Linked DNA regions of Oryctolagus cuniculus. The protein of the gene in region 1 binds, or shares a complex with, the protein of each later gene. Links are inferred from orthologs where the notes say so. Each region holds a gene or a part of one and is shown in the gene's direction. Other genes may lie near its edges.

Region 1 (6,043 bases):
TTTTGTATATGTGTGATTGAGTTCATATTATCTATCAATTTGTTTTATAGTCTGCTAATGAATTAAAGGAATTGTCAGACAAGTGTTCTATCAGAAAAAAAACTGCTGTTAACATTCAGACTTCTAAGATTACATAAATCCCTCAGATGAAAAAAGATGTCATTGGGGCATTATTGTCTTGTTGGTACTCTGGTGGGTTTAGAACTAAGAAATCAACCTGCTCATGAAGATTTCACTGAACTAACTGCCAGGAAATCTGAGTGCCAGTTTTGGCTCTTCCTCTCACTCAAGGACTCATTGTGAAGTTTAAATTTCTTTGGACTTTAGTTTTTGAACCATAAATGAGATGATTGGACTATAATCTCAAAGGATACTTGCAGCCAAAATAATTTATGACAGGGAATTTAGCCATGTCTGCATCAACCTTTATGATAATAAAGAATGAATTCAGAGAGCGGAAACGTTCAGTAGCTAGAAGTGAGCTTGCCATCTTTATTTGCAACCAGAGCAGATACAATGTGTTTCCTGTCCTTTCTAGGAGTGGCCATGGAAGGGGGGAGGGGAGAGAGGACAAGGACAGGATGTCCTTCCCTAACATGTCACTCAGCAGTCTACATCTTTACATTTTTTTCACGGCCACGAGGCCTGATATAGCCTGTAAGTTTATTCCACACAACAGAAGGATTACAAATAACTTGTTCGGGTAACAATATTAAGTGTCTCGTTTCCTTTTCCCTTGTTATGGATTGTTTCCAAGCGCCTTCCTTTCTTCCATGTTATAATGTGAGTTTAAAGTGACATAAAATCAGGGACATCAGAGAAGGAAAACATTTACAGATGTCACTCCAAAGGGAAGGACATGGGTGTGCCTTTGGTAGGATGATCCTGTTGCCAGTTAGCAGGTGAAACGTAGTAAAAAAAAAAAAAAACAAAACCCACCCTGACAACCGGATAAGTGAACATGAAGAGGTGCGTGGGTAAGACAGCTCTGGAGAGAGGGAGGGAAAAAAACCAAAAAACTTGTTCTTTTAGGTAGTGTAGCTTTAAGGCTCGGTGAGACTTGATTAAATATATGCCAGTCTCCCTTAGATGACAGGAACTGTGTCATCTATCTTTATATCCCCAGTGCGGGAGAGAACCGACAATCGAAATCCCTCTTCCATCGAACTGAGTTAAAAACTTATCCTTACTGGGGATAAGATAGGAAGTCACTGGCAACAACTTTTTACAGGATTGACGGCGGCGGAGCAGCTTCTCAGAGGTGGAAAACGCAGCCGAGAGCTGCCGCGCGCAGAGCCCAGGGAGCGGGGAAGGGGATCAGAGCCCGTCACTTGGGAAAACTCAGGCAACAGGTCTGCAGCCCTCCAGTGAAAAAGCCAGGGGCGGCGGCGACGCGCACCCCCGCAGGTCTGGCGGGTCCGAAACCGCCAAGTCCGAGTCCAGGGCACCGGACCCGCGGCCGACCGGCTTCTTCAAAGACGGCCAGGAAGCCCTCAAGATGTACGGCCCGGGTCTGTCTCCTGGCGTGATAACAACTTCCGCGTGTGTGTGTGTGTGTGTGTGTGTGCGCGCGCGCGCGCGCGCCGCGGGGAGCGCCGCTCGAAGACGAGGACGACTTCCGCGTGCCAGCACGAACGGAGCGTCGCCGGCCCGCGCCAGGTCGCCAGCGCCAGAGGAAACCCGCGCTTCCGCGGGCCGGGGGCGGGGCCGCCGCCACGCCCGAGCCGAGGCGAAGCCCCACAGGCCGCCGGGACCGCGCGCGCGCCCGCGCCCCGCCCCGGGACTACATTTCCCAGCAAGCCCCGGGCCGCCCGCGCGCCGCAGTTGACCCATTTCCCGGCCCGTCACGGGCTCGGCCGGCCCCCGCGCCCAGGCGGCTGCTCCCTGCTGACTGGGGTGTGGGCGGGGAGCGGCGGAGGGAGGAGGAGGCACTGCTGGCCGCCACCGTTGCCTCCGCTGCTGGGCGCCTGGGCAGCTCCCCGGGTTTCTGCGGCCGCCATGGACGAGCAGGCGGGTCCCGGCGTCTTTTTCGGCAACAACCACCCGGGCGCCGGCGGTGCCAAGGGGCTCGGGCCTCTGGCAGAGGCTGCCGCGGCCGGCGACGGGGCGGCTGCGGCGGGGGCGGCTCGAGCCCAGTACAGCCTCCCGGGGATCCTGCACTTCCTGCAGCACGAGTGGGCCCGCTTCGAGGTGGAGAGAGCCCAGTGGGAGGTGGAGCGGGCGGAGCTGCAGGTAAAGACCCTCCCGGCCTGGCCCTCTTCATCCCGCCTCTTCGCTCCCTTCCGCCCCGCCCCGGACCGTCGCCCCCTCCCCCAGTCCTCTCCCGTCCCTTCCCCCTTTGCTCCCGCCCATCCCACCCGGAGCCTCGTCCCCTCGCTCCCTTCACCTTTGCCTGTCGCTGTCCCCACTTCTTTCCCCGCGGTTCTCCCGCTCCTGATGTGTTGTTTACCCTCCCCGCTCCTTCTCGTCGGCTGCTTCCCACTCTTAACTCCCAGTCTCGTTTCAACTCTCTTGCCGCCCCGCACCTGAGGGCTTCCCGTGCAGTGTCCTGAAGGAGCTGACAGTAGTTTTGGGAGACGCTGAGCAAGTCATCGTCTGGGCTAGTGTGTCCCATCCGAGGTCTCTGCAAAAGGGACTGGCCGTTGGCGCCTCTCTCTGCAAGGAAGGCGACAGAAGTTGTGTCAGTGAGGCCTTGACTTTGGGCTAGAAGCTGACTTTGGGCAAAAGTGTTGTTAGAAATATCAGCCGCCTTGTCTACACGTGTATGTTTCTTCTCCCCCTGCCCCCCGCCCCCCGGCCCCGTATTGCAGATTCCTGGATTTTGAATGAGGGACTGAGATGATCAGCGAGCTGATGGTCCAGAGATGGTTCTTGTTGGAAAGCTGCAACTTCTCGAGGGTTTATTTCATGTTTAGTATTTTGTGAGATTGGGTTGTAGTTTGGAAGGAACTGAAGGGGCTTCACTGATAGGAACATTGCCTTGCATAATCTGCGAGATAAAGTAGGAGTCTATCCAGGGAGGAGCTATTGTGGGCTCTCGGGAGAATGAAAGCGAGGCTGATACTTTACAGGGCATGCTGAGTTGTAAGTAGGTTTTCAGTGGCTGTTCTTAAAACTTGCAAGGCAGCCGCCAGTTTCAGGAGGAATTGGGAAGACCATGAGGGGTTGTGTCTGTCTCTTACAAGATGATCCTGTACCCTTAGGAGATTTGAGTATGGTCTTGGTTTTTGAAACACTTGAAGGTAGAATGCTGTCCATTGTGTCACTTTTTTTTTTTTTTTTTTGGTAACATGTATTTCTTTGGTCCTGAAAAAGAAAAAGGAGGGGAGAAATCTGTCCAACACCATCGTGTGCTGGGATAGGCTACTTCGCTGGAGTGGCACTGGCTGTGCAAAGAGCCAACAGGGTTCCATTGGGTTGGGTTCTAGTGAGGGCTGTGTTTGCTGCCAGTTCTGTGACCTTGGGGAAATCTTTTAACCTCTCTGGGCTTCAGTTTCACCCCTTGTTTATTCAACACGTGTTAATTGAGAACCAGCTATATGTCTGGAGGCTCTGAGATGAACGAAACTCAGGAAGCTTCTGCCCTCACGGAGTTTCTGTTTAGTTGGAAGGCAACTGATCAGCAAATGAAACCATATAATATAATGGCCTATTGTGGGAACTGCTGAGAGGAGAAATCCATCAGGGTACAAGAATAGAGTGGTGGAGAATGCTGCTTTAGGTCGGCGCTTTAGGTGAGGCCTCTGGGAGGTGAGAGATGAGTGGTTGAATGAAGTCAGGAATGACACATAGTTTCTGTAATTCCTTGTCAGTCTATATGTCTATGGTTATGTGTTTATATGTTTTGGCTGTGTTTTCATCCCTACTGGCATGTTGCTTTAAAAGCTGGTCTGTTGGTATTTGTAAGTTTTCTCATGGTTATGGCCATGTCTCTGTGGTACCCAACACATTCGAATGTTTATGCATTTACCTTTTTCGCTGTGTATTCTATAAATGAGCTTGTGGATTTCAGGCTTCAAAGAAGTATTAAAGACTAGGTGTGACTTTCTTTAAAACAAACATTTTTCATTTTTTTTTTTTGAGAGACACAGAGACAAATCTTCCATCTGCTGGTTCACTCTCCAAGTGCCTACAATAGCCAGGGCTGGACCAGACTGAAGCCAGTATCCCAGAACTCAATCCCAGTCTTCAGCATGAGTGGCAGGCACCCAAGTACTTGAGCCAAGTACTCACAAGGTGTGTATTAGCAGGAAGTTGAATTTGAAGCAGGGGAAATGGTGTCCCAAGTAGTGACTTAACTGCATTGTGCTGCACGCCCACCCCAAAGTTAAGATTTATCTATTTATTTGAAAGTCAGAGTTACAGAGAGAAGGGGAAAGACAGAAAAAGTGATCTTCCATCCGTTGGTTCACTCCTCAGATACCTGCTGCACCCAGGGCTGGGCCAGGCCAAAGCCAAGAGCTTCATCTGGGTCTCCCATGTGGGTGGCAGGGGCCCAAACATTTGGGCCATCTTTTGCTACTTCTCCCAGTCTATTTGCAAGGAGCTGGATTGGAAGTGGAGCAACCGGGACAAGAATCAGCGCCCATATGGGATGCTGATGTCATAGGTGGTGTCTTTACCTGTCACGCCATAAAGGTGACCCCTAAAGTTTGACTTTTAATGTTACCCAGTTGTAGGAAATTATTTTTGTATGTAGATCCTTAGATTTCAGTTCCTTTTCCAATGTAGGGAATGTAAGTTACACTAATTTGAACAAAAACAAAGGAGAGAACAATGCTAACCTTCCTCTCTGTAGAAGTTTGGGGTCTTCTAACCCACCTTGTCTTCTGCTCACTCACTCCATTCATATTTAAGCTTTTCACTTTATCTGTAACTGTAGTCAGTCTTCAGTTTTTTGCCCACACATGTTACATTTAATGTAAGTTTCTCATTGGTGCACTACTTTATTTGCTTATTTATTTGAGCTAGAGATTCCTCACCACCTGGCTCATTTCTCAGATGCCTGAGGGCTGGGTGAGGGCTGAAACCTGGAATCAGGAACTCCTGTGTGGGTGTTAGGAACCCAGTACTTGAGTCTTTACTATTGCCTTCTAGGGTCTGCATGAGCAGGAAGCTGAGACCAAGAGCTGGAGCCAGGAATTGAACCCAGGCCCTCTGATGTGAGACATGTTTATCTTAACTGGCATTTTAACTGCTAGGCTAAATGCCATCCCTTGAACACTACCTTTTTTTTTTTTTTTTTTTTTTTTTTTTTACAGGCAGAGTGGACAGTGAGAGAGAGACAGAGAGAAAGGTCTTCCTTTGCTGTTGGTTCACCCTCCAATGGCGCACCGCGCTGATCCGTAGCCAGGAGCCAGGTACTTCTCCTGGTCTCCCATGGGGTGCAGGGCCCAAGTACTTGGGCCATCCTCCACTGCACTCCCTGGCCACAGCAGAGAGCTGGCCTGGAAGAGGGGCAACCAGGACAGAATCCGGCGCCCCGACCGGGACTAGAACCTGGTGTGCCGGCGCCGCAAGGTGGAGGATTAGCCTATTGAGCCGCGGCGCCGGCCCCCTGAACACTACTTTTTTAAAATAGTATCTTTCGATTTGTTCTCAAATTAGGCTTACCCAGAGAAGTTTAAAAAATGAGTTGTATATTATCTGAATAGAGTAAGTGTTATGTATTTTGGGGAAACAGGTTTTATGATAATCTGTGATCTTTGTCCCCCTTAGTGTAATTGAAAAAAATTATTCATTTCTTTAACATTGGATTGTTAAATTTGAACGTTTCTCTTCATGTCCTTGAAAACAGTAGGAAGTAAGAGTTGAGTAAATTGTGGTGAAATATGGATCAGTTGATGCTCTTTTTAATTTTTATATCTCTACTCAAGTCATTAAAACCAAAGTCAACAAAATGCCTTCAAGATTAAGTCTAACTCGTCCCTTCAGGAACCTGTCAATCCTGCTCCTTCCTAGTTGCCAGTCAGAGTTGTGAAAGGCAGTTCCAGCTCTCACAGTAGTCTGCCTTGGCCACTTTCCTCCTCCTTCAGATCTTGGG
Region 2 (5,783 bases), on another chromosome or scaffold:
AGTGCAGGTTCCAGTCCTGGCCCCAAGGTGGCGCACATGGATGGAGCTCCATACTCAGGATCCCTGGTCATCTAGGGAGCGGGTCGTTAGGTGGAAGATCTGTCTCTTCCTCCCTCTGTCACTCTTTCTTTCCTTCTTCCTTCCTTCTTCATTTTCAAATATTTATTTATTTATTTGAAAGGCAGAGTGGGGGGGGGAGGATTCCATTTGCTGCTTCACTCCCCACTTGGCGGCAACAGCCAGAGCTGCGCCGATCCAAAGCCAGGAGCCAGGCGCTTCCTCCGGGTCTCCACGCGGGTGCAGGGGCCCGAGGACCTGGGCATCTTCCTGCTTTCCCAGGCCACAGCAGAGAGCTGGATCGGAAGTGGAGCAGCTGGGACTTGAACCGACACCCGTATGGGATGCCGGCACTGCAGGTGGCAGCTTTGCCAGCTACACCACAGGCCGGCCCCAGTTCTGCCTTTCAAATAAACAAACAAATCTTACAAAGGAAAATCTAAAAGTGGACATGCAATTGGCGCAGCGATGAAGCCATTGCCTGGACGCCTCCCGCCTGCACTTCCAATCCATCTTCCTTCCAATGCAGCCAGGAGCAGCAGATGGCGGATCGAGTACTTGCGTTCCTGCCACCCATGTGGGAGACCCCAGTGAAGCTCCTGGCTCCTGCCTTCAGCCTGGCCCAGCTCTGGCTGTTGCTGCCATTTGAGAAGTGAACCAGCGGATGGAAGACCTCTCTCTGTCTCTCCTTCTCCCTCTGCCTTGCAAATAAATATTAGAACAAAACACACCAGGGGTAGGCATTTGTCCTAGTGGTGCAGACAACCACATCCTCTGTCCAGTGCTTGGATTCAATTCCCGACTGCTTCCCACTCTAGCTTCTTGCAAATGGAGGCCTTGGAAGGTAGCAGGTGATGGCCATGTAGTTGGGCCCTGACACCCACATGGGCAGCCCAGAGTTCTCGGCTTCCAGCCACCTTGAGCCTGGCCCAGTCCTGGCGGTTGCGGGTATCTGGGCAATGAACTAGTGGATGGGAGCTTTCTGTCCCTTAAATAAATAAAGTCTAGTGGCCAGTGCTGTGGCATAGTGGGTAGAGCTGCCGCTTGCAGTACCAGCATCCCATGTGGGCGCCGGCTCAAGTCCCGGCTGCTCCTCTTCCAATCCAGCTCTCTGCTGTGGCCTGGGAAGGCAGTGGAAGATGGCCCAAGTCCTGGGAGGCCTGGAGAAAGCTCCTGGCTCCGGATCAGCGCAGCTCCGGCCGTTGTAGCCAACTGGGGAGTGAACCAGCAGAAGGAAGACCTCTCTCTCTCTCTCTCTCTCTCTCTCTCTCTCTCTCACCCTGATGGGTGCTCCTGGCTGTTGGGCTTTTCCCGCGTTCCGGCCCTGCTCCGCGGTGAGAAGCGCTGACTGTGACCGCATCTCGGACGGTCTGCCTCGCCCACCGTTCCTTGCGGTCCCCTTACGAAGAGCTCAGAGCTGCAATCTTTCAACTCTGGGATCCGCTCCGTTAAGATTTCTTTGGCTTGGACCTGAGACCCTGACCCAAACCGGGCGGAGACGTCCCTGGCAGAGCACTCTCAGCCGCTTCACGTCCTCGCCGGTCCAGTTTCTCACCAGACACGATGGAACATACCAGAAGCCGGCCGAGGCAGTGAGCTGAGAACAAGCACAGATGCGGCCAAGTTCAAGCCCACTGCGTGACCCCGCCGGACGGCGGCCGGGGCAGGACCCCGGCCCGCAAGGTCCCCCCAGGTGCTGCTAAACGAGCAGGGGTGACGACACAGGCCACACGGCCCCTCACGCCACCTCCCAGTGCCCGCCGCGGACCGCGTCAAGTCAGGACCCCGCGAAGGGCTGCGCAGAGGGCAGGGCCGGGCGCCCAGAGGGGCCGGCCGGGAGCGGAGGGCTCGCAGTGGGCTCCCTGCAGGGCCCTAGGGCCGGAACGGCCCGCTCACGAGCAGAGTGGCGGAACGCAGCGCCCAGCCTCCAGCGCCGCACGCTGACCGGGACCAGCAGAGTAGCGGCCTCACGGCGATCGCACGCGCGTCCGCCTGCCCGCCCTAGGCACGCCGTGCGGGGGCGCCTGGCCGGAGAAGCAGCCCGAGGCCCTCCGAGCGGGACTCGCAGTCCCGGCGGGCCCCGCGGCGCACCAGCGCCTCGACGCCGCTCGATGCAAGGCCTGCCGGGACTTGCAGTCCAGCGCCGGCGCCTCGATGCCGCCCGTCGCGCGGCCTGCCGGGACTTGTAGTCCGGCGCCCGCGGGTCCAGGGCGCGGGGTGGACAGCGGGACTCGGAGTCCCAGGGAGCCGCGCGCCGGCCACGACGACCTCGCCGCCCTCGTCGCCGCCGCCTCCGCTGCCCCTGGGGTTTCTCGGCTACCGCCGCCGCCGCCGCCGCTACGCGGGCCAGCCCGGGCGTTCCCGGGCGGACGGAGGCTGCGGGTGGGAGCCTTCGCGGGCGCTGCGGCGCGGGCCGGGGGAGGCCGGGATGGAGCCCCCCGGAGGTGGGCGCGCTGCCGGGCGGGGCCGCGCCCGGGCGGTTGGGGCCGGGCGGGGCGGGGGCCGGGGCCGGGGCCGGGGCCGGGCGGCGCTCCCGGGGCCCTGACTGCCGCCGTCCCCACAGGGGACTGACGCGAGCGCGCCGGGGTCGCCGACGGCCGGGCGGAGCGCGGCGCGGACCATGGCGCACCTGAGGGGATTTGCCAGCCAGGTGAGGAGGGGCGGCACGGCGGCGCGGTCGGGGGTCGTTCCGCCTCCCGGGTGTCCCCGCCGCGCTCCCCGCCCTCCGCTGTCGCGGCTGCGGAGGTGACCGTGCGGCCGCCCGTCGCGCCTGCTTCGCGCTTTCCCGCACCCGCAGGTGCCAACGCTTCGCCCAGGGCGCGGCGCGGGGCGAGCGCCGGCCGGACCGTGGCGAGGCGTGGACAGGAAGCGCGTCCGCCCGCGACGGGAGCCGGTCGGGGGAAGGCGGCGGCCGGGGTCCCTGCTTCGTCTTTGACGTTTGGGCCTGCAGGTTACGTGGCGAGGATGTCGAGAGAAAAACCTGCTCACCTGTTAGAAGCGCAGGAGCAGGGCTGGCGGGGGCGCGGAGAGGGGACCCCGAGGTGGGAGGCGTCGTTTGGCCTTTTCGGGGCCCCTTTGCCATCCCGCAGGGCTGACCAGGCTGGTGTGGCCCCCGGGCCCCGTGGGCAGGAACGGTGCGGAGGTGCGAGCTCAGGCCGCAGCTGGGGTGTCGGGGGGCTTCGGGCCTCTGTTGTGCGGCGTGAGCAGCAGACACGTTGGGGCAGAGGGCCCAGGCTGCGTGGCCTACCCCGCAGCCCCTCCCGAAGAGGACCCCTGTGTTCCTCTTCCCAGGGCGGTTGGGCGTGGGCTGTCCCTGGGCTGCAGTGGCAGGTCCTTGTCACGCTCTTGCTGCTCAGGCTGGCTGCCGTGGCGGTGGGCACACCAGGAGGGGCCTGGGGGCAGGGACTTGCACCTTGCCTGCTCAGCCCTGGCTCAGGGGCTGTGTCGGGCGCTGCGTTGGCCAGGCTGTCAGCGGAGTGAGGTGGTACCCAGAGATGCTGCTGGGCCTCTAGGTCTGTCTCGGGCCAGCCTCGAAGGCGGTGGACTGTAGAGTGACAGGAGGACGCCAGCTCAGGGCCTGAGCCAGAGCCGCTGAGCCACCAGGATGGGGCTGTGCCAGGCAGCCTGGGGGAACGCGTCTCCCCAAAGCCCTGGAGGTAGGTGATGAGCTCTCTGCGACAGGAGAGTGGCCGCCTGCCCGTCAGTGGTCTGAGGGCTGCTGTGTCCAGGACTTGGGCACCTGCTCCGGCGGGCTGGGCTCTCGTGGGCTCTCGCCCGCAGCACCCTGAGGGCAGTGGAGCAGGTGTGACGTGTCACACACCGTGAGTTTCCTGGCTTCTGTTTCTAGAACCTGGTCAGCAGGAGAGGAGAGGCTGGGGTAAACGCAGCTCGCCTGGCCCGTGCAGCCTGGGCAGGACCGGACTTTGTCCTTGCTGATCCTCAGCCTTGGCTTTGGGGTCTCCTGGCAGCAGGCTGGCCCTGAGCATCCCCTGGGCTCATCCATGGCCACAGGCCTTGGGACCCGTCTGCCAGTTCTGGCCACTTTGCCTTATGTGTCCAAGCCGGTTAACTGGGTTAGGGTGTGTGTGGTCTGCAGCTGGCCTGCCTGGGGCAGCTGCTCTGGCTGTCACCCCAGGCCTGGTTCGGGTGGATTAAGTGGCCGGCGCTGCCCTGTCCTTGCAGCCCCGCTGCTGTGTCTGCGCCGCCCGGGGCTCAGCTCCGCTGTCCTCAAGTTCCTGTCTCCCCAGAGCCTGGCTCCCAGCCGGGGTCAGGGACACTGTGAGGCGGTCTCGTAGGCCTGGGCCTGGGTGATCGCCCCTCCTGCCCTGTGGTTACAAACCCTGGAGAGGGTGCTCAGGCTCAGCTGAAACGTGGCGTGAGCCTAGAGCAGCACCCTGCGGGCCCAGCACCCATGACTGGTGCTCTGCTCCGGGGAGGAGGCGCTGAGCCCGCCCAGCCCTGGCTGCCCTCACCTGGGAGCTGGCCATGTTTTCTGGACTTGGTGAGAAGTGGGCACTGAGACACTGTCATGGGGGTGGTGCCCCTCCTGGTGCGGAGACTCGGCTGGGCTTGCCTTGGGGCCGCCGCCCGCAGTGCTGGCATCCCACGTGGGTGCCAGTTGGAGTCCTGGCTGCTCCACTTCGTATCCAGCTCCCTGCTATGGCCTGGGAAAGCAGTGGAGGATGGCGCAAGGGCTTGGAGACCGGAAGATGCTCCTGGCTTCCGGGTTTGGCCTGGCCCAGCACTGGCCGTTGTGGGCATTTGGGGAGTGAAGCTGCAGATCTCTGTCTCTCTCTAACTCTGCCTTTCAAATAAATAAAAATAAATCTTAAAAAAAAAAAAGGAAAATTCTGTCTTGATGACACTCAGGGCCTTAACCCCACTCCCACCTCTACAGGTTCCCCTGTGGGGCAGCAAGCCACTAGGATCCTGGGGTATGGGGGCTGCCCTTCACCCTCGGCCGGCCGTGTTTCTGAGGTTGGTCAGCGCTTGGTGGCTGGAGCATGGTGTTCTCAGGAGCCCAGGGTCTCTGGGCAGTGGCTGGGGGACACCCAGAGTGACCCTGGCCGTGGGAGGTGCTGTGATGATGCTCCTGGGGTGGCCCAGGCTCAAACTTAAGAGGGTGGTTTATGCCGAGGACCCCTCTGCCAGCCTCTGCGACCTGGGCTGCAGACCTGGCGCCTCCCCCACCAGAGCCTGGTGACCCTGACGTCTTGCCTGCTTAAACCCGAGGACCATGTGGTCAGCGTCTGTGGAGTTGGAGTACCTGGACTCAGGCTTCTGAGAAAGGCCAGTGCTGGACTCTGCTGGTGTGACCCTGGTTCCGGGGTGGGGAAGTCCTCCAGGGGCTGTGGCTGTGATGTAGGGTCTCATCACCACAGGTTGGGTTCTGTTGTTCTTAATAGATTGTATGAATATGTTTTTAGATCTATGAGTTTATTTGAAAGGCAGGGTTACAGAGAGAGGGGGAGAAACGGGGGTCTTCCGTCCTCTGGTTCACTCCCCAGATGGCTGCCATGCCTGGGGCTGGGCTAGGCTGAAGCCAGGAGGTGGAGCTCCATCCAGATCTCTTTCGGGGTGGCAGAGGCCCAAGCACTTGGGTCATCTTCCGCTGCTTTTCCAGGCACGTTGGCAGGGAGCTAGATCGGAATTGGAGTAGTCAGGACGGGAACCCGTGTTCATAGGGGATGCTGGCGTCACAGGCGATGGCTTAACCCGCTGCACCA
Region 3 (5,316 bases), on another chromosome or scaffold:
TAAGTAAAGTAAATCTTCTAAAAAGGAAAGTGCGAAGCTCAGTGACTTGGGAGAGGGGTCGTGTGTTGTCTCGGAATAAGGGGCAGAGCTCTTGTTGTAGATGTTACCTAAGACTGAGGGTGGGAACCGCTCTCTTCACCACTCTGCTATCGCGAGGCCTACAGGACGGTGTGTTCTGGGTAATCACCTGTGCCCAGCAGTGAAAAGGGTCTGTCGCATTCTCCTGTGTGTGGGAGGCGGGCCCATCTGTTTGCTGCCTTCTCTGTCAGTTCTCACTGCAGTTTGAGACAAGGGCGAGAGACTAAGAGTTTGAATGCTGGGTTGATAGCCCACTAGCTGCCTAGATTCTGGAATCCTAGCACTTTGTGGAATAGTGGCTTCAGGGCACAACGTACTTGGAAGCTTTGTGTTCGTTCATTTGAGAGGGATTTGAATATAAAGCAGTGGAGGACTGTGCTGGGCATTGTGAAATCGCTGCTGATCAACGTGGACTGACTTCCTGCTTTCAAGGGCCTTGCAGTCTCGTGGCGAGGTGGAAACTGGACCCCACATGCAGTAGTTACAGGCGCTCTGGAGGGACAGGATAAGGTGCTCTGAGACGGCTTGGTGGGGAGGAGCGCGGGGCTAGCCCAGGAGACGAAATATGGTGATCGAACAGCAAGCAAAGGGGAGGCAGTGGTTTCCTGGGAACAGTGGTGGCTCTGGGTGCATTTCTGTTTCCTGCTTTGTAAAGTACGCGTAACGCTGTCTCCTTTTGTCAACAGGGCTACTCCGAGTCACCAGACCTTGAGTTTGAATATGCTGACACAGACAAGTGGGCCGCAGAGCTGTCGGGTAAAGCACAGTCCTTTTGTCATCTGGGGGCAGTTTTCTCCATATTGGTCTTTACGGAGATTTACAATGTGTATCATTTTGGAATCATTTTTTCCTTAGTTGTATCAGTGATACACACACACACATATGTATGCATACATATATGTGAATAGTATGTTATTTTGTTTAAGTTTTGTGTACCTTGAAACTGGGTTCGATCGTTCTTTTGTTTGTTCTCTTTCTCTCTTTCATTTGTTTTTTCTCTCTTCCTTCCTTTTTTTAGATGTATTAATTTATTTGAAAGGCAAAATTACAGAGAGAGAGGGAAAGACAGAAAAAGAGAGGTCTTTGATCTGCTGGTTCACTCCCCAAATGGCCACAATGGCAAGGGCTAGGCCAGGCCAAAGCCAAGAGCCTGGAACTTCATCCAGGTCTCCCACGTGAGTGCCGGGGCCCAAGCACTTGGGCCATCCTCTGCTGCTCTCCCAGGCACATTAGCAGGGAGCTGGATCAGAAATGGAGCAGCTGAGACACAAACTGTCACTCGTATGGGATGCCAGCGTTGTAGGCAATGGCTTAACCTGCTAGGCCTCAACGCCAGCCCTGTTCTTTACTTTTCTGAAACATCTCTGTATTCAGCTCAGTTGGCTAGGGCCTAGTCCCAGGGTGACATGGTAATGTTCCTTGGCCATACACTGTCCCCCAGCAGTCGCCTCCCATACAGTAGTGTGTCATGGGAGATACCAGCAAACACGCCTGCATGTGTGCAGATCTGCCATTGCCACAGCCACTCCTGTGTGACCTAAGTCCAATGTGAGCTGCTTCTCCAGCCTCCATACTCCCGGGTCAGTTGGCAGGTAGCACTGGGGAGACAGTTTCAAGGTGGCGCTCACCTCTGGCATGGCATGGCGTGGCGTGGCGTGGCATGGTGGATCGGTGCGTATCAGATGGAAGTGCCTGTATTTATGCTTCTCCGGTGTCCTGGATTTCAGCTGCAGGGGGAGTCAGCATTCTCTGCATTACATACCCGAGCGCCCTAAGACACCCCCACCCCGAGTGATTAGCATAGGCCAGGAGTCGACGGGTGCAGGGGCAGAGTTGGTCCCGGAAGCACACACCTGACCTTGCTGGCTACTTGGGAGTCCCCTGGGGAAGCAGGTGTGGAGCTGCTGTGACGAGACTCTGTTCTTGACAGAGCTTTACAGCTACACGGAAGGACCGGAATTCCTGATGAACAGAAAATGCTTCGAGGAAGACTTCAGGACTCATGGTGAGGTGGTTTCCTGATTTCTTGGCTCATCACCGGCGTTGCAAGAGCTCCAGTTTCTCTTAGTCATCTGGATGACCTAAGTCATCCTGGAATGGCCCGAGAAACCTGTTGGACCGACTTGTTCCAGGCCGGGTGCAGCACGTAGAGTCGCCTTGTGGGCCTTTGCTGGCGGCTTTTCAGAATGTGAGCACTGGGGAAGAATCTGTGTGACTGTAGTGTTTGGGTCAGGAAGTTCCGATTCATAGAGCAGCAGTCGGACCTTGCCCCTTCCACAGAGTCACCGGTCTTTCCACCCCTATGGCAATCCTGAATTTGGTGGATCAACAGCGGGTCTCTTCCATTGTGAGCATTTTTCTAGGCTCAGGTATCACTGGTGTCTTGCCCTGCAGTGACAGACAAAAAGTGGACCGAGCTGGACACCAACCAGCACCGAACCCATGCCATGAGGCTCTTGGATGGCTTGGAAGTCACTGCCAGGGAGAAGAGACTCAAGGTGGCTCGAGCAATTCTCTACGTTGCCCAAGGTACTGGGTGGGCCTCGCCTGGGTCCCCTGGCGCCTCTGCCAGTGACGTCGCCCAGTCAGACGTGGGGGTGGGCTTGGCGAGCATTGCCGTGTGTTGGCAGGCACCTTTGGCGAGTGCAGCTCGGAGGCAGAGGTGCAGTTCTGGATGCGCTACAACATCTTTCTGCTGCTGGAGGTGGGCACGTTCAACGCCTTGGTGGAGCTTCTGAACATGGAAATAGAGTGAGCACTTCTGCGGGGCTTGAGTAGGGAGGCGAGGGCAGGGCTGGACGGAGGACCGTCTGTAGAACACACTGGCTTTGAAGGGGTTAAACGGGCCACTTGGGCTGAGGGTTTCCCCCCAGGCTCTGTTCTCACCTCTGGGGTTTCATAATTGGAAGCTGCCACCATTAGGGACCAACCCTAATGCCTGCAGCTCCCTAAAGCCAGCAGCGCCTTCAAGTCAGGCAGTGCCCGTGCCAGGCCTCTGGTGCCCCTCAAAAGAAGCTCTGCATTTGAGCCCTCTTTTGCTCCTGCTGACTCCATTTTGTTTGCTCTGCAGTTTTGCCCTCAGCAGGAGGCCAGAACCCAGTGTGACATGTGGTGGGCTCAACCTCAGCCTTGTCTGGCAGGTGTCACCGCCGGCGCCTTGTTTGATAGACAGGTTGGCTGTGCTCGTGTGAGGATAGCGTCATCAGGGATAAGCGCTAAGCACACTCGCCGAGTGCCTCTGTGTCCCAGGCATTGTTTGAAGGAGACTGTAGATCTAATTCATGCTAATGACATGGGTCCTGGGTCCTGTGTCACTCCCAATTTAGAGGAAACTGAGGCACAGGGCAGTTCAGTACCTTGCCCAAGGTTGCATAGCTCGTAAGTGCTGGAGCCAGGATTCAAACCTTGCAGTCTGGTCCAGGCCTGAGCTGGTGGGCTTTTTGTTTGTTTGTTTGTTTTAAGATGTATTTATTTATTTGAAAGGCAAAGTTACAGAGAAAGAGAGGGAGAGACAAAGATCTATCCACTAGGTCACACCCCAGATGGCTGCAATGGCCAGGGCTGGGCCAGGCCAAAGCCAGGAGCCAGAAACTTCCTCAGGTGTCCCACATGGGGGGAGGGGCCTGAACACCTGGGCCATTTTCCACTGCTTTCCCAGGCGCATTATCAGGGGGCTGGATCAGAACCAAAGCAGCCCGGACATGAACCGGCGCCCATGTGGGATACCGGCAGTGAAGGCGGTGGCTTAACCTGCTATGCCACAGCACCGGCCCCACTGTGCCGCGTGGCCTCTTGTGCCGCCTTAGCACATGTCACAGCCCTGTGGTCCCCCACTGGGTGGGACTTGTTGAGGGCATCACTCCGCCTGGCTGGGCCAAGTGCTGACTCTCGAGTCTCCTTTGCAGCAACAGCGCCGCGTGCAGCAGTGCCGTGAGGAAGCCCGCCATCTCCCTGGCGGACAGCACAGACCTGAGGTGAGCAAGGGCGGGCCTGGGCTCTCCTGGCAGGGCCGGCTCTGGGCGGTGCCTTTGGTTTCCTCGTTGAGTATGCGTCCCTTCTGCACATGCAGACCTGCAGGTGTCTCAGGTCGGATGGGCTCAGTGTGATTGATGAGTGGGCCTTGCTGAGGACCCTACCTCGGTGGGGCTCTGGGTTGAGACTCCCAAAGGAAAGCCAGGGTCGAGGCGCTTCTTGGAGCCTCAGAGAAGTGTGGGCCTGCTGCGGAGGACTTGCTGGTGGGTGTTTTGTATTTGCGTGTTGCATGTTGCGCCTTGGCCCCCCACTTTGCGGCCGGCCCAGCTGGAGCCCCATCTACCTGACTGAGCCTGCCAGCTTCGTAATGGGTCATGGATGCAAGGGACTGGTAGCGGCTGCCGGACAGCAGATCGCGTTGCCGTCCTTGAGGGTTGGAGCCTGGCTCTGTGAATGTGGAGGTTGTCCGGGCGGGGCGCTTGTGGTGTCCCTGATGTAGTTAGAGTTCTCTTCGCGCTTCCCGCCCTGTCACGGTAAACGCTGTCCTTGCTCTCCCCGGGACTGTCCTGTGTTGACCCTCAGAGCTCACTCCCGTTTCTGGGTTTGTTTTCTCTTGCCGGGAAGCCTGTGGCAGTCAGTGCTTTTGGCCATTCTTGTTCAAAGTCACTCGTTGAGCAGCCTTTGAATAGGCACCTGCTTTGAGTGAGCACATTGTTAGGCGCTGGAGAGAGAAAACAGAGTAAGCTCTGGTCCCCCAGCCAGCACAGCGGGAAACGGTGACGGAAACACCGGGAGGGGAGAGTGAAGCCTGCCTTTGCTCCGGGGGCCTCTCAGCTCTCCCCTTTCTGTTCTCGGTGTTCCCTGTATTATCCCACGTGAGCTGGGATGAAGGAAGCCAGGGCTGCTCCCTAGATTCCCCAGCCTACTCCTTTATGAACTGGCTCTCGTCCCCAGGGTCCTGCTCAACATCATGTACCTGATCGTGGAGACCGTGCACCAGGAGTGCGAGGGCGACAAGGCTGAGTGGAGGGCCGTGCGACAGACCTTCAGAGCCGAGCTGGGTAGGACCCTCGGGGTCTCCTTCGGGCCCGGTCTGGAGCTGAGTCTGGGAAGCTTTGGGAAGGTTTGGAGCTGCTGCGGTCGTCCTGATCCCTTTTTGTCACCCCTAGGCTCCCCACTGTACAACAATGAGCCATTTGCCATCATGCTGTTTGGGATGGTGACCAAATTTTGCAGTGGCCACGCCCCTCATTTCCCGATGAAGAA
Region 4 (6,114 bases), on another chromosome or scaffold:
GGGTCTTTGTTACAGCTGCCCTAGCAAGCAAGGTACAACCAAAGGCTGACTGAGAGTGAGGTCTCCAAGAGAGCCTGTCCTCTGAGCTCTGCACTCACAGAACAAAACCCTGTTGTCACCATTTCTCAATGTGCTGGGAAATCCCCCTAGGCCTTTAAACTGTATTTTCTTGCTGTCATGTCATCCGATGATTCTTGATGTACTTCTTTATGCTGATGTTAATAATTTGTCTTCACCTATTGAACATGTGTAGAAATTCTTCAAGCCTTCTGTTACTTATCTGAGCTACTCATATTTCTCCTTTTAAAGTTCACCATGCAAGTCCCTTTCTTTAATCTGCAAATTTAAATTGCAAATGTGCTACTTGTCTAGCTGTTCTTTATCAAGTGGCATTTGGGGGTGTTTATCTTTTCAACTCAGAGCCAGAGAAGTGAAGGGATTGATTGTTGAAGTCTTGTTTTCTGCTGCAAGCTTTGAGCTCAGCTGAGACTAGCAACTGGCTTAGGGGAAGTCAATCCACAGGGGCTCTCTGGTTGGAGGGGCTCCATGTAGGGACATGGAAATGTCTTTTGTGGTCCAGAATACATGTCAGAGCACAACTCTTTACCCAACTCATGTCCTGTAAGTGAACACAAAAGACAAAGAGGGCCAGGGGATGAAAACAATAGGTTAGTATCTCCATGGAGACAAGAGAACATATAATCTCTATGGAGACCCTCAAATTCTTTTTGGAATTACAGTAGTAAATGATCTGTTGTAATTATTTATTAGGGGTGGAGGGAGAGTGATGAGAGGAAAAGTGTGAGAGGATGGTCCTTTTCTTTCCTTGGTAGAAGTGATTTTTTTTTTTTAAAGATTTATTTATTTATTTGAAAGGCAGAGTTACAGAGAGGCAGAGGCAGAGAGGGCAAGCAAGTGAAGACTTCCATCTGCTGGTTTACTCCCTAAGTGGCTGCAATGGCAGGAGCTGGGCCCATCCAAAGCCAGGAGTTTCCTCTGGATCTCCCACGTGGGTGCAGGGGCCCAAGGACTTGGGCCATCCTCTACTGCTTTCCCAGGCCATAGCATAGCAGAGACCTAGATTGGAAGTGGAGCAGCCGGGACCCAAACCAGCTTTACTGCTTCCTACAGCGCCGGCCCTGGAAGTGACCCTGTTGTCACTCTACGTGCCATCAATTATGGTACTGTAAACTTCCAAAGTTAGGATAGTGAGACTAGATTTCCAGGATGGGATCACAAGCACCTGGGGATCTAGTCCTGTTTAGATGCCCTATGCTGAACTGATGTCTGAATGCAACAAGTGCACAAAAAAGTGTAATGGGAGTCGGGGGGGGGGGGGAGGGTGGGATGGTGGGAAGAATCAGTATATTCCTAAAGTTGTGCTTATAAAATGTGTACTCAATGAATAAAGGGTGTCTTTTGGAAAAAAAAATAAAGTGTAATGATCGAATGCAAAACCGCACAGAACTGTTCCTGACTCAGGCCTTGTCAATCATCAGTGTTCTGGGAAGACAAAGCAGCCAGAGACCTACAGTTCTGTAAACACTGGTTGATGCCTGCATAGGACTGAGAAGAACTTGTTACTTCTATGAGCATTCTTCTTGTTCAGTGAGAATGGAACTCAATGGTCAAAGAAGAAAAACTGAGATAAACAGAGAACAGGAGATAGATCAGCTAAAGGATGCAAGTCTCAGACCATGTCCAGATAAGCCACATCCACTGGGAACCCGTATGTTCCTAGTCTCACTAGCCCTGGTATACAAATATTATTCTGATTATTTTTTATATCTGGAATATTATGGTCCAGTGTCTTCTACCCCTCATTTCACATCCTCACAATTTCTGAGCATTTCCCATGGTATTGCTTCAGATCAGTGCTCTGATGTTACTGTCCATTTGTATCTCAGCACGATGGTCTCCTCTGGCTCTGATTAGTGACCAGAAAAATCATCTTTAATTCCAGACAGCTAAATTTTGGTGCATATACTTCTAGGTTTTTCTCTACTAATACACACACACACACACACACGTTTCTAAAATTAATTTATATGCAGTAGCTTGAAATCAAACTACACAAAGGGCCTTTTAAAAAGTTTACAATGTGTATTATGAAAAACCAGCATGGATTTCAAAACCTTATGCAACATACAAATACCCCTTAATTCCATTTTTCATGAACTTTCTGAAGTGCCTGTGCATTGTTTTGGTTCCTACGTTTTCTTCAGTGAGTACGTAACGAAAACACTGTTTACTGCATCTGTTAGGGTTTTCCACGGTAGATTCCCCAGGATTCTAAATGCCACTTCGCTGCAGCTTTCGATACGTTCTAGTCATTTCCTCAGGCTGTGTCACTTTGGGTGGAATTCCCAGGCTGAACACGACGGGCCCTCGAAGAGTGCACGTTCCTTCTGGTTTGGCTCTTCTCCCGAGGTACGTTTCTTAGCGGTACAGAATTTAGGTAAGCTCGTAAGCGGCTGCTTTTCTGCCTTGTATTTGTCACATCCTCCCCAGAGTCACCGCCCCGGCTTCTCTGTAAGTGAGCAGTGTCCCTGTGACAGCCAGGAAGGCGGCCTGAGGTCTCCCGGGGCTCCCAGCACAAGCAGGGGTGCGGTGCTGCGACACCTCGGACTCTGCTTACCGCGTCCTGCGGCCTCTGGGGGCTCGCTGTGGCCGCCTCACCTCGCACAGCCAGCGGGCAGAACGGGCACTCCCGGCCCGGAGAGGCGCGGGGCAAAGTCCGCACGCCGCTTCCTCCGGCTCGGCGGGCGGCCCGCAGGCCCTCCCCGCTCGCTCCTCGCAGCCGCGCTGCCGGCACCGCGTTCAGTCAGCAAACGCCCGGCATACAGTCGCCGCCCCGGCCTCCGGGCGGTCGGAAACTTCCTCACACGCCGCAGAAGCTCCGCCGCGGCCTGCGGGAGCAGCCCCGGGCCCAGCCCCCGTCTAGGAAGGCCGCCCGGGGCGCGGGCACAGTGCAGCGGCGGCCGGGCGGCCCGGGATCGCCTCAGCGCCCGAGCCGGCTCGCGGGGCTCCGACCCGCTCGCGCCCCGGCGGACGCCCTCGCGGCGCGGCACCGCCCCCCGGGGGGCGTGGGAGCGCGCGCGGGAGCCGCTGGGATGCAGGCCCGGCCGGCAGGCGGCGGCGCGGCGCCTGCGGCCTAGGGCGCCCGGGCGGCCGCCGGGCCTCCTCCTCTTCCTCCCTCTCCCCTCCTCCGCCTCCCGGAAGCGCGGGGCGGGGTCCCCGGCCGGGCCGCGGGGGCGGGCGCGGGGGCCGGGCCGGGGCGGGGCGCTCTCGGCGCTCGCGGGCTCCGCCGGTGGTGCGCGCCCACTCCGGGTCCAGGCGGCGAGTACGTGCGGGCCCAGGCCGCCCGGCTCCCGCCGAGAAGCAGCGGCGGCAGCGGCGGCGGCTCGCGCTCGGCCCCCCGCGCCCCGTGTGGGCGCCGTGCATGGAGACGCGGCCCGGCGCCCGTCGCTGAGCTCCGCCGGCTGCCGGGACCCGCCGGGGCTGGGGTGGCCTCGGGATCCGGCGCGGCCCGCGGGCCTGGTCGCCCGCGCGGATCGCCGCGGCCCGGCCGTCCCGTCCCAGGAAGTGGACGTCCTGCGCGCCATGGCTCACTCCCCGGTGCAGTCGGGCCTGCCCGGCATGCAGGTAGGCAGCCGCGGGCCTCAGGGACTGGGGATGCGGGGCTGGGGCGGAAGCGGGCAACTTGGCGGTGTAAACAGGGCCCCCCCCCCCCAGGCTCTCCCTTCCGGGGTCGCGTCGGCCGGGGTTCGGGCCCTACTCCCGGGGCTGCTCGCGGGCCGCGGCGGCCGGGTGTGGATGTGTGGCGGGGCGCGCGGGGTGGGGGGTGCACCGAGGCCTGGGTGCGGATGTGGGGCACCGGCGCCTGGCCCCCAAGTCCTGAGCAGTGCAGGGCCTGCGGCGGCCCCGCGCCGGGGGAGACGGGAGGGGAAGACGTGCCCTTGGAGGCCCCGGGCGGCGCGGGGGCGGTGGAGGCCCCCCGGGCCCGCGCGGGGCTCGGCTCCTCGGGCGGCGGGCGGAGGGAGGGGCGCCGGCGCGCGGACAGGGCGCGGTGCGGGAAGGTGCGGGCCCCCGGCCTGGCGCAGGCCCCTGGCCCGGCGCTGGAGTTCCACTTGGCGACTTGGTGGGATTTAGAGGAGTTCCGCGCCGTGGACCTGGCTGTTGGTGCTTTGTGGCTGCTTGGCCTAGCGGTCCCCTTTTTTGGGGGGTGAAGTGGGGGGAGGCGTTGGATTTTCGATGGTCGCGAACGCCTTCCAAGTTTTTCCTCCGTAGGTGACTATGTTTCTAGCTCTTGGAAAAAAAAAAAGTGAAACCCCCATCGCGAGCCAACTTGTCATGTCCGTGAGCACGTCGGTAAAGGGTGGCGGCGCGATGCGGGTTCCAGCCTCGCGTTGCTGTGCAGTGTGCCCCTGAAGTTTTGTTTTTTCCCGGACAGCCCAGCCGGGCGGGAGAACGCACGAGCTTCCGGAGATCGGCCAAAAAAAAAAAAAAAAAAAAAGATTTTTTGTTATTTTGTAGACATGGAGGGGAGGGCTGAGGATCGCCCCTGGACCTCTGCTCCTCCTCCATTGGAAACCATCCCCCTGTCCCCCGAAAACCATAGCAAGAAAGCCTGATTTCATTGTTCAGGTTTGAAATCTAGCAAAATAGGAGCTCAGTGTCACCACTTCAGTGGTAGCCAGAATTTCAGGCAATTTTTTTTTTTTAGGAGTAACAAACTATCTTAGGATGGGCGGGTGCCAGAGTGTGTTTTTTGAATCTCATTGAGAGCTCTTTAACGTGCGATGTGAGTTTCTGCTGACCACTAGGTAAAAATCTGATGGGGCGGGGGGTGTTTCCTAACACTCCTGCTTTGGTTTGAACGTTCAAGGCATCAAGGTCAGGGTGAACAGGGTGAAAAAGAGTTTCTGACTAGTAGAGTAAGAAGACCTCTTGTAATGTTAAAAAATGCGATTTACCTTTAGATTGTTGCCCTGTGTTACACGGGCTGTAACCACAGATTGTCTCAGTGCCATCCGGAAAGGTACCTGAAGCCCCTCGGCTGGTGCTGGGAACTCAGTGTCTGGTCACTGCTTGGTCTCTTACTCCCCCCCCCCCCCACCCTTAGAGTGGGCCCAAATGTTTAAATCTTGGGAAAAAAAGCAAATTTTTGTTTTGAAACCATTGCCGCCTCCCCAGTACGGTGCCTTTGCCAGGTGGTGTTACTAGGGAACTTTTTATTTTGCTTTCTCAGAATGAAAGATGAGTAAAAGTTCTCAGTAGAGAAGAAGAGCATCTTCCTGTGTTTGAGCGGCAGAGGTGTGAGAGTGGCTGCAGACGGTACTGCCTGCTGGTGCGTCGGGCTGAAGCCAGTTCCAGGGTGCCGGTGGGGGAGAACGTTCCTTCCCCCTCCCTGCCCTGCCCCCTCGAGACTCTGCAGGCCCTGGGACGGGTCCCTAGAGTTGGGGCTGTGGTTCCATGAGGCACACCTGGCTGATCTGAGGAGAAGCACACCGCCTCTCCTTCCTGTCTGTCCTGTGTCTGACCAGGGGGTATAAGGAGTTTGCTGCAGGACTCGGAGAACTGCAGAGTGAATTCAGATAGCCTGGGCAAGAATGCTTTAAAAAAAAAATTTAACCCAGATGAATTAGCATTGTAGCGAGAGACTGTCTTTCAGTGTCTGGCCAGTTAGTTTTGTGCCCCCTTGGTTGTTACTGCTTGAGGCAAGGGTGTCCTGTACATCTGACGGAGCCCAGGGTAGGAGACTGTGTCCTGCCTCCAGGACACTCCTCCCCCTGCTGCCTTGTTTCTGTTGCTACTTTTGCAGAGCTTATCCACACTGGAAGTACTGAAGCAATTAGAAAACGCGCAATGTGCATTTAGTGTATCCAGTCAGCCACATTATTGAGCGCTCCTGTGCCAGGCGAGGGTAAACCTTAATGTTACAATTTTTAGTAACTACTTAGTGGAAGTTTCTGGGGTCTTCCCTCCCAACCCCATTTTTCTGTCACCATAGGAGGCAAAGGTAGAACTCACGAGCTGAGTGTGCGTGGAGTAGCTGCGGATGACTGGAACTCGGGCTGACGCGGGGCCGTGCGTGCCGCCGTCCCGTGCACA
Region 5 (5,316 bases), on another chromosome or scaffold:
GCCGGGACTCAAACTGATGCCCTTATGGGATGCTAGCACTACAGGCAGCAGCTTTACCCACTATGCTACAGCGCTGGTCCTGGATAAAAGTTTTCAGAAGTGGATAACAGCAGTGGAAGTTGCCCCAAGTCCTTGGGCCCCTGCACCTGTGTGGGAGACCTAGAAGAAGAAACTCCTGGCTCCTGGCTTCAGATAGGCTCAGCTCCGGCCATTTGAGGAATGAACCAGCAGATGGAAGACCTCTCTTTCTCTCTGTTTCTGTCTCTCTGTAACTCTACCTTTCAAGTAAATAAATACATAAATCTTTTTTTAAATAAAAAAAGTGAAAAACATCATGTGTTGTTTACAGGCATAAACATATGTAGTAAAAATATAAAAATGGGCATATGAGGGATACCCACTGATCTCGTTAGAGCGGTTCCCTCTAGAGAAAGGAAGAAGATAGGCCAGCAAACAAGTATGACAAAAACATTGTTCGGTCTGGGTAGATACACAGGTGTCTTATGTATTCTGTACTTACCCATATCTGAAAATTCACAATCCAAAATTTAAAAGACAAATAAAAAGAACAAAACCAAAGTTCAGTATCCAAGAGCCCTGGCTCACTTTTCTGACTGGGTTTGTGCTATACCTTTTTTTTTTTTTTTTTTTTTTTTTGAGATTTATTTATTTATTTGAAAGGCACAGTTGCAGAGAGACAGCAGCAGAGAGAGACAGAGGTCTTCCATCCACTGGTTCATTCCCCAAATGGCTGCTCCATCAGTTGAAACTGGGCCAATCGTAAGTCAGGAACCAGGAGCCTCCTTTGGGTCTCGGGCTATCTCTGCTTCTTTCCCAAGCGCATTAGAAGGAAGCTAGATCAGAAGTGGAACAGCTGGGATCGAACCAGTGCCCATGTGGGATGCTGACTCTACAGGCGGTGGCCTTACCTGCTATGCCACAGCACCGGCCCCTGTGTTCTCTCTTAAAACATACATGTTCACATTCTCCACTATGACTGAAGTATTTAAGGTTCAGAGAAATTATTTGTTTCTGATCACTCCCAAGATTCTGGAACTCAGAACCCAAAAACCCTGACTTCCAGAAAAGGGTGTTTCTCCACCATGAGACAGCTGGCTGGAACATAAGTGAATTTTTCTTGTTTTGGGATCTGTCTGTGACCTGGTTACATTTATAGGAAAAGTCTTAGGGCACGGGGGGAATAAAGATCTGGATTATTGATTTCAACTCTTAAAAAATCTGCAATATGAGGGTACAGACATAATGCTCTGAGATCTCTCTCTTTCTCTCTGTGTGTGTAGGAAAGGGCATTTTTTGTTTGTTTCTTATCAGCTTTCTGCATTTTGTGTGGAGAGGCTGCTATCGGCCAAGTTAGGCTTTCCGGTGCACAGCAGCCGTATAGCAACCACAGCTGCTCTCTGAGTGGGCAGCCGTGGGCACAAGCCTGAACTTTTATGCCCTTCATGGAAATTCAGCAGGGAGAGAATGAACTGACTCCAACCCTGAAGAGTATCTAGAATGGACTCTTTAGCCTTCACCCTGACTTACTAAATAGCACAAGGATCTTACCACTGAATTTCAGGGGTTGTTTTGCACTCCCGTTCCCTCGAGATAAGATAATCCCAGTCTGCTTTAACAAAGCAGAAGGGGTCGCAGCCCTGAGAAACAGGAGCGATGACATTAAGCCCTCTGTGCCCCACCTCTCCTCCTGGCGCTCCCCGAATGCTGAAGCCTCCCTTCTCCACTGCAAGAGCCAGCTGGCAGGAGGAGGACAGGTTTGATGGTTTAATCACCCAGGGACACAAGTGGCTATTTTTAACTGTTCCAAAAGGGAGGAAGCTGGCTGAGTTGGACACGGGAATGCATTAGAAGCTTCAACTCTTTCATGCTGCCCTCTCCACCCCAGGCCCTTCCTTTTGGGGTCTCCTGAACGTGACTCTGTTCTGTCTTTCTTGCCACAGAATTGTATAGCTACACCGAGAACCTGGAATTCACCACGAACAGGAGGTGCTTTGAAGAAGATTTCAAGACTCAAGGTGATGCGAGACCCTTACTTACAGGGGCTTGATTTTTGCCTCTACAGTGTCCCAATCTGATCTAGTAAAACGCTAAGACAAAGTAGGATCCTTCAGCCACTTAAACCGTTCACCCTTCCCTTCTTGCACACAGGACACAGGAGTCATTGCATCTCAAGTGTAGAGACCAAGGGTAGAAGCAAAAGAAGCCTGATCTGAGCCCCGTTTACCAGGAGAGCAGAGGGCTATTGGGACAGAGCTGGGCCATTCCCCTGCTGCCTGACAGGTCCTGGTGCCAAGCCTAGTTCTTGACTTGAAGGCTCAACCTCTGCCTCCAACTCTGCCCCACACTCAGTCGCAATTTCACATGCCCATGCCCTGTTGCCCTAGCTGGGCAGTGGCAATTCAGTTTTTAATTCAGCAAATGTGTGGTTGGTATCTGCTCTGTATCAGAGAATGCAGAGTGCAGCTTGTACACAGGATTGGTAGCCTGACAGCAGAAAGGAGTTGTGCCCATCACAATGCTAGCCGAGGCCCAGAGGAAAGTGGTAAGCATCCTAGAAAAGTGGAGAAGGTGTCTCGGGAGCAGAGATTTTGCCAGGGACCTGAGTAGGAAAGAGGCAACTTTGCATTAGGCCTGTGAGAATAAGAAAGAGGTCATTTGTATCAGGCCTGCAAGGCTGACTGGGCACTGGACATGTCAGGGGACAGAGGGAACTCCTTGAGGAGAGGCAGAGACAAAGCAGTATAAGCTGTGTGTGGGGCACGGAGGGACTGTTGAAGAAGAGGAAGCTACACAATGGATTCAGGCTGCAGTATTTTGGACCCTTTTCCCATCCCTATTCTTTCTCAGCTACATAAGAACAGCTTTTAGAAAGAAGAATTTGTTGGGGCCTGAGAGCAGAGGCGGGTGTGCTATCAGGAGCCTTTCCAGGAAAGGGTGGCAGGAGCCGGCACTGGATGTGTGTTGTGTTCTGTCCCCAGTGCAAAACAAGGAATGGCTGGAGTTGGAAGAAGATGCCCAAAAGGCTTATGTGATGGGACTTCTGGACCGGCTGGAGGTGGTCAGTAGGGAGCGGCGACTGAAGGTGGCCCGAGCTGTCCTCTACCTGGCTCAGGGTGAGTGAACCACCTTGCTAGCTTGAGAGGGTGGAAGCCGGGGAGGGAAGTGGCATTGTCAGGGCTGGGATGAGGCAGCTAATGCTGTGAAAGCCAACCCCCTGCCTCTGAAGGACTGCTCTCACCGTGCACTAGGATTCACCTGTGCTGACGAGAAGATGAGGAGATGGTGTTGGATGCTGTCCTGGATCCCTTGGGATCTGCCTTTATCTTACCAAGAGGGTCAGGATTTCTCTTAGGGGCCATAATCCTATGTGAGGAGCAGCAAGAGGGTCACTGCGGCTAAAGCTGCCCGAGTACCATCAGCTGAGCGTAGAGACGTCTTTCATCAGCTGTGGCCTGGCCTCTACACTGAGGGCAGGCAGGGGAGTGTCACCGCCTCTCCTCGCACATGGACCCGCTGCGGTGTTTCTCATTGGCACTGTGAAGGTTCAAGCCAACATGGCAGCAGGAGTAGATGCGGTGAGCAGTGTGAAGATGATCAGAATTAAATGAGGCTAATTGGAGAAAGCTGCCAGCAGAGAGCTGCTAGCCAGGCGTAAGAAAGGGAAATGAGATAGCCTCGCTGGGATAGTGAATAAGGCCTGAGATCATAAATGTGAGGATTGCCGGCACAGTCTGCCAGCTGGGAGCTTAAAATTTTGTAAAAGAAGAAAACAGGTGGAAAGGAAAGAAGGTGGACACTGGCTTTGCTCACCCGTGTCTCTTAGATCTGGTGCTCTGGCCAGCTTCCAACTGCCAGTGCCCAGCCCACAGCGAGCAACCGGAAGTACAGGAAGCTAGTTAAGCAGCCCTCATCCAATAACTGACAGGAGTTACTGGACGAATAGTGCGACGACCTCAGTCCTCTCGGATGGGATGACCCGAGTCGTGTGCTTTATACTGTTTCCAGTTTTCCCTAGGATGAACTCCACTGACTGCCTTCTTCCCCTTGCCTCACTTCCCTACTTCTCTATTGATGATTCCTGGGTTCAATTCCCAAATGAACTACTTGCACTTGAATCTTTACCCCAGGATTCGATTCTGGAGGAACCCAGATTTAAGGCTCATTGATGAGCACCTTGGACCTAACCCTGGCGATTGCCTCTCCTCTCCCTGACTCCTTCCAGGAATTTCTCAAGGGCCCGGCCCTTCTCTGTCAGCTTAATTATTGATCTGGGCATTAGACAAAAGTATGGGTAGAAAGAACTGGGGTACTTGGGGTACCTGCCTTCCCCCAACCCCTGTGGCAACTGTCTGGTCCTTTAGGCTCTTTTGGGGAATGTGATTCAGAGGTGGATGTGCTACACTGGTCCAGGTACAACTGCTTCCTGCTCTACCAGATGGGGACCTTCTCGGCCTTCCTGGAGCTACTGCACGTGGAAATCGAGTGAGAAGCATATGGGGAGGGCTGGCCTAGACCGTACCCTTCCTCGCAGGGACCTCATGTCCTGCACGGGTTCCCTCACTGTAAAGAAGCCCTGGGAGAGCTGGATCTACTCATATCTCAGCCCGAAGCTCATTGCCAGCTCCTCCTCCATGCAGCAGCCCATGTGCCCTGATACTCTGCCCTGCCTGCCTGAGGTTGGGCTCCTCCCAGTCTAACCCACTTGTAGCTTCAGTCCCGGGTTCCAAGGGCCCTCTCCTGGGTGGTTCTTTTTCATCCACACACCTTCTCAGCTCAGCCTCACTCTGCAATCCATGAAAAAAACACTTCTGCCTGTCAGCATGACCCAAAAGGGACAGGACCAATTTTTGCCATTGTGCTCAATTCTGTCCCTCATTGGCTTTATATATATATATATATATATATATATATATATATATATATATGGCCCTAGAGTTAGCCTTATCTGTCGCTGCCACTGCAGTGCCCCCTCATTTTGTCTCATGCCTCTCACACAATGTTTAGATGTGCTGAGATCTGCTTATTGTTAGATGCTACTTAGCATCTGTTTTGCATCCCACATGGTAAAGGCGCGAGGGGGCTTTCAAGAGGAGTAGATCCCACAGACCCTTCCGTTGCCTTCTTCACCACAGTGGAGAGTTTGCTGAGATGGTGGGGGAGTTCTGTGGACTCCTTCACCTTGGGACAGTTTCCTTGGTGGCTGCGTAGCCAGAGGATGGCTGGTCTGCAGCACAAAGAAGAAAAAGTCCTAATGGGTTCCCGTCCTTGCCCTCTTCCTTCTCCCTCTTCCATGGC

What was found.
Region 2: STRN (region 1) and STK25 share a complex: the UniProt entries of both Homo sapiens proteins name them as parts of the core of STRIPAK complex. The link is inferred for Oryctolagus cuniculus from reciprocal best matches to the Homo sapiens genes STRN and STK25.
Region 3: STRN (region 1) and STRIP1 share a complex: the UniProt entries of both Homo sapiens proteins name them as parts of the core of STRIPAK complex. The link is inferred for Oryctolagus cuniculus from reciprocal best matches to the Homo sapiens genes STRN and STRIP1.
Region 4: STRN (region 1) and STK24 share a complex: the UniProt entries of both Homo sapiens proteins name them as parts of the core of STRIPAK complex. The link is inferred for Oryctolagus cuniculus from reciprocal best matches to the Homo sapiens genes STRN and STK24.
Region 5: STRN (region 1) and STRIP2 share a complex: the UniProt entries of both Homo sapiens proteins name them as parts of the core of STRIPAK complex. The link is inferred for Oryctolagus cuniculus from reciprocal best matches to the Homo sapiens genes STRN and STRIP2.

Annotation. Positions count from the first base shown.
Region 1 is NC_091433.1:165,858,049-165,864,091, forward strand, and holds the start of STRN (striatin), read left to right. Parts: upstream 1-1,998; coding exon 1,999-2,232; intron 2,233-6,043. UniProt on the Homo sapiens protein: Calmodulin-binding scaffolding protein which is the center of the striatin-interacting phosphatase and kinase (STRIPAK) complexes.
Region 2 is NC_091434.1:278,103-283,885, forward strand, and holds the start of STK25 (serine/threonine-protein kinase 25), read left to right. Parts: upstream 1-2,280; 5' UTR 2,281-2,439; exon of another isoform or gene 2,440-2,501; intron 2,502-2,620; 5' UTR 2,621-2,677; coding exon 2,678-2,707; intron 2,708-5,783. UniProt on the Homo sapiens protein: Oxidant stress-activated serine/threonine kinase that may play a role in the response to environmental stress.
Region 3 is NC_091438.1:60,285,263-60,290,578, reverse strand, and holds part of STRIP1 (striatin-interacting protein 1), read left to right. Parts: intron 1-764; coding exon 765-834; intron 835-2,008; coding exon 2,009-2,083; intron 2,084-2,472; coding exon 2,473-2,607; intron 2,608-2,708; coding exon 2,709-2,829; intron 2,830-3,983; coding exon 3,984-4,052; intron 4,053-5,004; coding exon 5,005-5,111; intron 5,112-5,219; coding exon 5,220-5,316. UniProt on the Homo sapiens protein: Plays a role in the regulation of cell morphology and cytoskeletal organization. Required in the cortical actin filament dynamics and cell shape. Part of the striatin-interacting phosphatase and kinase (STRIPAK) complexes.
Region 4 is NC_091440.1:13,995,920-14,002,033, forward strand, and holds the start of STK24 (serine/threonine-protein kinase 24), read left to right. Parts: upstream 1-2,031; 5' UTR 2,032-2,121; coding exon 2,122-2,430; intron 2,431-3,091; exon of another isoform or gene 3,092-3,603; coding exon of another isoform or gene 3,604-3,645; intron 3,646-6,114. UniProt on the Homo sapiens protein: Serine/threonine-protein kinase that acts on both serine and threonine residues and promotes apoptosis in response to stress stimuli and caspase activation.
Region 5 is NC_091434.1:165,647,102-165,652,417, forward strand, and holds part of STRIP2 (striatin-interacting protein 2), read left to right. Parts: intron 1-1,961; coding exon 1,962-2,036; intron 2,037-2,999; coding exon 3,000-3,134; intron 3,135-4,382; coding exon 4,383-4,503; intron 4,504-5,316. UniProt on the Homo sapiens protein: Plays a role in the regulation of cell morphology and cytoskeletal organization. Required in the control of cell shape. Calmodulin-binding scaffolding protein which is the center of the striatin-interacting phosphatase and kinase (STRIPAK) complexes.